2 linked regions of the Xenopus tropicalis genome follow. The protein of the gene in region 2 interacts with the protein of the main gene of each other region in a biochemical or structural test. Links are inferred from orthologs where the notes say so. Each region holds a gene or a part of one and is shown on either strand. Other genes may lie near its edges.

The links.
Region 1: the proteins of prkar2a (region 2) and rab32 interact in a test that uses a peptide from one of them, tested with the Homo sapiens proteins (2 studies listed by BioGRID, with this or other methods). The link is inferred for Xenopus tropicalis from reciprocal best matches to the Homo sapiens genes PRKAR2A and RAB32.

Annotation. Positions count from the first base shown.
Region 1 is NC_030681.2:49,376,162-49,379,863, forward strand, and holds the start of rab32 (ras-related protein Rab-32), read right to left. Parts: upstream 2,810-3,702; 5' UTR 2,630-2,809; coding exon 2,389-2,629; intron 1-2,388. UniProt on the Homo sapiens protein: The small GTPases Rab are key regulators of intracellular membrane trafficking, from the formation of transport vesicles to their fusion with membranes.
Region 2 is NC_030680.2:136,484,607-136,488,357, reverse strand, and holds the start of prkar2a (cAMP-dependent protein kinase type II-alpha regulatory subunit), read left to right. Parts: upstream 1-844; 5' UTR 845-1,141; coding exon 1,142-1,406; intron 1,407-3,751. UniProt on the Homo sapiens protein: Regulatory subunit of the cAMP-dependent protein kinases involved in cAMP signaling in cells. Type II regulatory chains mediate membrane association by binding to anchoring proteins, including the MAP2 kinase.

The DNA of each region.
Region 1 (3,702 bases), on a different chromosome or scaffold from region 2:
GGAGGATTCTGCCAAAGAAGCTTTATTAACTGATGCATTTGAAAAAAATAAACATGTTTTCTCATGACAGTATTGCTTTAAGGATAAAAACTCTCCATTGAGTTTGCTGTTTTCTAGAAGGAGTTATTGCATGTACTCTTTCTATTTAACATCTTGAATATACTGTACACCAGTGTATATCTGTGTATACATTTTTTTCCAGGGACTAACTGGTTTGACTATATAGGCAAAATTGTGTCTTACTAGAAAGTTAAGCAGGGCATGGGAGAAACTGAGATTGGCTGCCAAATCAGAAAGCAATCTCATAGTGTTACACACAACTAAACAAAGATAAATTATTTGAATAACCACAATCAATAATGAAGTCATGAAATGCAAATATGTGTAAAAAGCCATCTCCACAGCTTGTCCTCCCCTGAGAATTTCACATGGAATGTATTGTGGCAGCAGTTTACAGATGTGATATTTGCATTGTATTCCTTCCTAGTTAGGGATGCAACTAATCCATTATTTTTAAATTCTATAAACAAAACCCTAATTTGCATATTCACATTTGGGGAACAGAAATTCCATACATTTTAAACAAAGAGTTGTAACATTTAGTTGTCTAAGTAAAATGACTAAGTTTGGATTTGGTTCAGCTAAACACTTAGGATTCTACAAAACAGTTTGAGAAATTGGCCAAAATCCTGGATTCGGTGCCACTCACAACTAATTCATTTAATAAATGATACCATGCAATGAAATTGTTTTCTGCAAAAAGTGCCTCGGAATGCTGGGCCAGGAAAATCTGAAAAGGTACATGATTTACATATGACTTCAATTGGAGTCAATGACTGTGAATTTTAATGTAGAAATCTGTGCATTTAGATCTGATTTCTAGCTGCAGTTGGTATATAAATATTTTTAAAAACAACAATCAGCTGGATGTGAAAGTGTGTAGTTATTCCAATGATAATTTTGGGTAAAATGGTCAAAACATTTAGGGTTAAGACACACAAAGCTACTTACTAGCAGCTACTTGACACGGCTACTAAATACCACAAAATACCCTGCCTTAGACAATACTGAGAATTGCCTCTGCTAAAACACACAGTAAATGATCAGTATTGTCTATTTTTGTAGCTGTGACAAGCTGCTTCTAGTAGCTCTGTGTATCTTTACCCTTAGTCACTTAAGCTGGCCATTCACGCACCAATGATATCGTACGAAACCTCGTTTTGTATGGTATTTGGTGCGTGTATGGTGGATCGATGAGACAATCGATATTTCGACAGGTGGAGGTAGAATTCATATTGTTTCTAAATCCACACCTTTTTGACTGATGGAAAAGATCAGAATTTCTACATGTATGGCCGCAGGGGCGGGCCAAGCCAACCAGGCGCCCTAGGCAACCCGGTCGGCCAACTCCGCCCACCCCCAACGGCGCATGCGCGCCAAAGCACAGGAGGAGGCGCAGGGGGGGCGGTGCGATTAGATTGGTCATTGCCTTGTCATTAGCGGCGGAGGCAATGACAAAGCAGCACTAGGGGTAGGCAGGAGAGGCTTCTGCCTGGCGCCCCTCAATCGTTGCGCCCTAGGCAGCTGCCTCTTCTGCCTACCCCTAGTTCCGGCCCTGTATGGCTGCACGGAACAAAGTAAAGGAACAAAGCAAAGGAACAAAGCTAGATCTGTGGCATAGGCCTTAACTATGCTACAGTACAAGGATATATATGAAAGTATGTCAATAGCAGTGTAAGTAGTAACCAAACTAAAACAAGGATAATGTTTCAAGTAGGTCAGGCACAATGGGGTTGCATTTCTTTTTGTGAAACCAGACTTGCATTTGTAGCAGCGCTCCTCAGAGGAGATGCATCTACTTTAACTGGTGCTGGTCCTGCCAAAGACTGTGGCACTTATTATGTCACTGAACCAAAATACCACCAATGTAGTATATGTAACTAGTTGTAGCACTGTGTTCCTGTATTTACCTCGTACACCCATACATCTACTATAAACACAGCAATTATATGTGTTATGTTGGTATCTTCCATTCATGGTATCTCAGTAACTTTTCACTGGATAAAAAACATGACAAAATACCACAGTCATTAGTAGCCAAAACATATTTTTCTGTTTACAATTGGCAGTAAATTAAACACGTTTGAAACAAAATAAGCACTTTCCAGTCAATTTATGTAACAGAAATGCTGCTTGGACATCTTTGGCATTTGCCCCTCTAAAGATTTAAAGAACTGTACTATATATGAACTTACCTCTCAAGGGCCCAGAACAATTGTGCCCCTCTCATGCATTAGGGTGTATGTAGTGATTTCTGTATTACAAATGTTGCAGCATTGTCCGAGAAAGGTTTTATACAATCTTCTCCCTAAGGAAATGCGTGCTTACCTGCAATATCCCACAGCTGCAGTCTGACCAGCGTGCTGCTGTCCCAGTTTATGACTTTGAGAGCAAAATCCACCCCTATGGTGGCCCTGTAGTGCTGGGAGAAAAGCTGATGGACGTAGCGTTTGATGATGCTAGTTTTGCCCACTCCCAGCTCCCCAATCACAAGCACCTTGAAGAGATATTCCTTGCGCTCAGGCGCCCGGGGGCTGCTCGGCTCTCCGCCCGCCCCTTCTCCGGCCATAGCGACACTCTGTCAGCGCGACGCGACACGAATTTTGGAAACGCACTGATGGCAATGACACGATCAACCAGAGCTTTAATCTCGCAGCAGCTGTAACTGAACGGCAAGTTCCTTAATGCATGTGGCAGCGACAAAACAATTCCCCGAAGCAGGTGTCTGTATGACTTCTCTATTCTTTAGGAATACTAAGGGTTCATGGCAGTGACACACAACCAATACTATTGTCTTTCAGACAAACTTTCTCAACTTAGCGGCCTCTCCCTCCTCCTCCTCCTCCTCCCAGAGACAACCAACCATACGAGTGCGAGTCACAGGACAGGAAGCCAGTGCAGCCTGGGAGGGGAGCGGTGCAGCCTTAGCTCACGGGTACTTGGGATATTCCTGCCATAGACTCGCCTTCTCTTACATAATATGTAGTATGAACCTGTATATTGCTTTTGCTTATTGTCTCACAGAATGGAGGAAAGCTGCATGCAATGTCAATACTTTTCTTTCTCTTCTGAAAAGGGAACCTTAAAGGAACAGTAACACCAAAAAATAAAAGAGCTTTAAAGTAATAAAAATATAATGCAATGTTGCCCTGCACTGGTAAAACTGGTGTGTTTGCTACAGTAACACTACTATAGTTTATATAATAAGCTGCTGTGTAGCCCCGGGGACAGCCATCCAAGCTGGAAAAAAGGAGAAAAGGCACAGGTTACATAGTAACATAGTAAGTTGGGTTGAAAAAAGACGCGTCCATCACGTTCAACCATAAGGTTACATAGCAGATAACAGACAAGTTCTGTAGAATACAATAGTGTTTTATCTGTTATCTGCTATGTGCCTTTTCTCCTTTGAATGGCTGCCCCCATACTACACAGCAGCTTATCTATATAAATTATAGTAGATTTTCTGAAGTAAACACACAACTTTTACCAGTGCAGGGCAGCAGCACATTATATTTTAGTTATTTTTGTACACTTTCATTTTTTGGTGTTACTGTTCCTTTAAGGATCGTTGCTCTGAATAGTTACCAGATCTCCAACACTGTTTTAATATAACTAATGCTGATTGAGCAGCTGGTTTGGAAC
Region 2 (3,751 bases):
GTTCTGCTGATTCCGCTGCTGGGGGGGGGGGGGGTATCACTCGAACTTGAAGTTTATCAGAGCACAGGTCACATGGCTGTGGCACCCTGGGAAATAAAGAATATGGCTAGCCCCATGTGAAATTTCAAAATTAAATATTAAAAAATCTGTTTACGCTTTTGAAAAATGGATTTAAATGCTGGAGAAGCTCTAGTTATTATCATATTGTACCAACAAGACATTTACTTCCTATACTTCTCTATCATGAATACATCTATGACGCAAATATGTCCATTCTGGTACCTGAGGTATTTTTACTCTGCCTCTAGCCCCAACAGCCTATATCTGCCACAGGACAATAGGAGTTTTTCAGTCAATAACATTTGAAGGTCTCTTACTCAAAAATAGCAGCATTAATTCAGTTGCGGTACAACCTGGCCTACACTGAGCTTTTACTGATTATTAGCACCATATTAAAACAAGAGAGCTGCTGCAACACTGAGCGCTCTTATCTTCACCTTTTTACACAGAGCTCATTGGCTCCCAGCGCTCCTAAGCCAAGGCCAGGCAGTAGATGACGCAGAGAGGGGCGGACCCAACGTCACCGGCCGCTGTCACTTATTGGCATGAGTGGGTGGGGCTAAGCAAGTGACATGTAAGTTCTTTTCCTGAGGGATGACAGCTCTGCTCAACTTTTCGACGCATTTACGACAGCTTCAAGAATGGACCGTGGTGACATAGAAGCTCAGGTAACGTTGCAGGTTGACAAAGCAGCCGCGTTCCCCATGTAATATACTGGCGGAAGAGGACGAGGGATTGACGTCAGAAAATAGTCCCTCCCTCTTAGCCAGTGCTCTGCCCTGTTTTTCCCGCCTCCTGTTGCGCGTTCGCGTATCCGGCCTACTCGCTGCTCTTAGGGATCAGTGCGCGCTGCGCTCTCGCCGGTTTCTGGCTGTGTGAGGTGATTCCCTGAGCCGCGGCAACTCCTCAGCGTCCGCTGGTTTGTTGGGGGGAGGGAGGGGGGACTGTGCGAGCGGAGGAACCATCAGGAATATAGAGAGGGGGGGACAGCACCCTCTGGCCTGCTTGGTGGCTCAGCTTATCCAGTGTAAGGTGTGAATAGCAGCGAAACGGGGCTACCTCCCCCCCCAACCCGGGGACGATGAGCATCGAGATCCCGCCCGGCCTGACGGACTTACTGCAGGGTTATACGGTGGAAGTGCTGCGCCAGAAGCCGCCGGACCTGGTGGAGTTTGCGATACAGTATTTCACCCGGCTGAAGGAGAAGCAGCTCCAGGATGGCGCAGGGGCCGGCTCTTTACGGCCTCACGCCCGGGTGGTCAACTTCGACGGGGAACCCATGCAGACCGAGTCTAACGGGGACGAAGAGGAGGACGAGGAAGATGACGATGACTCCGATTTCGAACGTAAGAGGCCGCATGTGCTGTGGGCAGGGCTGGAGTTTGAGAAGACGGGGGGCCCCCGGCAATGCAGGAAGGCTGGGGGCCCCCCCCCGGCAATGCAGGAAGGCTGGGGCCCCCCCCGGCAATGCAGGAAGGCTGGGGGGCCCCCGGGCAATGCAGGAAGGCTGGGGGGCCCCCGGGCAATGCAGGAAGGCTGGGGGGCCCCCGGGCAATGCAGGAAGGCTGGGGGGCCCCCGGGCAATGCAGGAAGGCTGGGGGGCCCCCATTTGAGAGGGCAGACAAAATCACATTCATCAAAGAGCTATCCTGCCCCCCAGCTTTTGTTAATGTGCAGCTCCCTGCCTTGCTCTGCTGGGGCCGATGTGCAGCTCAACACACGGGGGCTGCAGCTTGGATAGGGTTCATGTGCTCATTTAAAGTGCCCCCCCCCCCAATACTGACAGTATGAGAAGTTATTTACACTTGTAACTGTGGGACAAATGTCTTTATCCTTAATAATAATATGTAGTTCTTGACTCTTGCAACAATGTAGCTGAAGTTCTGCCCTAGATCACTTCATTTACCTGCTACTTCTACATTGTGTCAGGTGTCAGAACCAGCAGTGCAGAGAATGGAAACAGCCAGTTTATTTACCTGCTACTTCTACATTGTGTCAGAACCAGCAGTGCAGAGAATGGAAACAGCCAGGCAGATACAGTCAGAACTCATTTACAAATAAACTTCCATAACCAACGTTAATGTATATTGGAAAGGTGCTTAGAATGACATTTCTTCCTTGATGCAAGGAACCGGTTTTGAGTGGCTCTTTCGGTTTTTTCTTCCGCATATTCCTGCCCCAAAGGTGCCCCTGTGATGCTGTAAAGTCAGATGCACTACCTGCATTGACAGAGGGCTGAGGAATTGACATCTCCTCATGTGGAGCAGGGCTTCCAATGTCTTTATTTTAGTACTTTTTGTTTCTTGCCAGTGATTTTTAAAATTACCAATTACAGAGAAACTGTAAATGATTTAAGGCGCATAAGTCATTTTTTGGTGTCTGGTCTCGCTTCATAGCCTTTAGATCTTTAAAGGGGAACTCCGGCTTCTGAACCAAAATTTGTTAAAGAGCCCCACACAATAGTCATTCCTAATATACCTGTCACTGTAATCTGTTCTTTTGAAATACAGTTTTTATATGCTGAAGTCCAGCTGCAAAACAGTTCTTCTCTTTCTGCATCATTTAAAATCCTAGCAGTGGAGGAGGGACTAAAACATTGATGTTACAAATTGTAACAACTTCTCCACAGCTTACAGACAGCATGCAGGAACTACATAACCCACAATGCATTGCACCGTGAAGTTTCTTATTGACATCACGTGTGCAGGGAATTGTGTGATTGGGAGGATGCAGGCAATTACTGTTACATTTTATTTGAGTCTCAAAGTAGTCGGCCAGATCAGGCGGGGCTTAGGGAACTGTTCCAAACCATATTATTACATTAAAAATCATGAAATGGATGCATATTTTAAAATTTGTGTATTGCAAAGTTGCTTGAAATTAGCTTTACTTTTCAAAAAGCTCAAGTTGTACTTGGGTGGAGTTCCCCTTTAATAAACTTCCCTTTCAATGATGTCCTAAAGCCCTGTAAAATAAGGGGTGATTGTATATTACTTAGAAATGGTGGCAAGTACCAAGCTCCTGTGGGCAGGACACACTGTGCACATTTCTTGTCTTTTGTTGAGTTTAAAATAAATTTCAAGCTTGCTGGGCATGTACATGTTTGAGGTCTCCCTTTAGGGCAGAGGACACTACATCAGTATAAGTAATGTACCTACTAGGCAGGCTTATAGTTGCATTGTGGGATATCTGCTAGTGATGCCTGCTGCTCATTCTGCAATAGGCATAACATTTTCTCTTACAGAAACATCACTGCTGGTTATGCTTGCTGCTCATTTTCCAATAATTGCACCCACTTTATATGGAACAGTCTTCTCTAATGTTTGTGAGGTTTCCTTCATAATTGCTTGGTTTATCTCTCTCTGTAAATAATCGATTTACAGATTGTGCTCTCTGAAACCTTGTAGATAGCGTCCCACACAGAGATTAGTCACCTGCGATAGATCTCTGCTACCGCGGGCAACTAATCTCTCCAAAATGCCTTTCCTGTGGTAACAAAGGGGATCACCACTGGAAAGGCATCACTTCCGTCTTCCAAAGTGGCGCGAAGCTTCCTCCTGCAGGCAACTTTGTGGGACTTTGGAAAATGGAAGCAATGGGTAGGCCTTTCCACCAGCTATTCCTTTTTTGCCGGTGTATTTGCAGGTATTTTGGAGAGATCAGTCGCCCACAGTAGCAGAGATCTACTGCA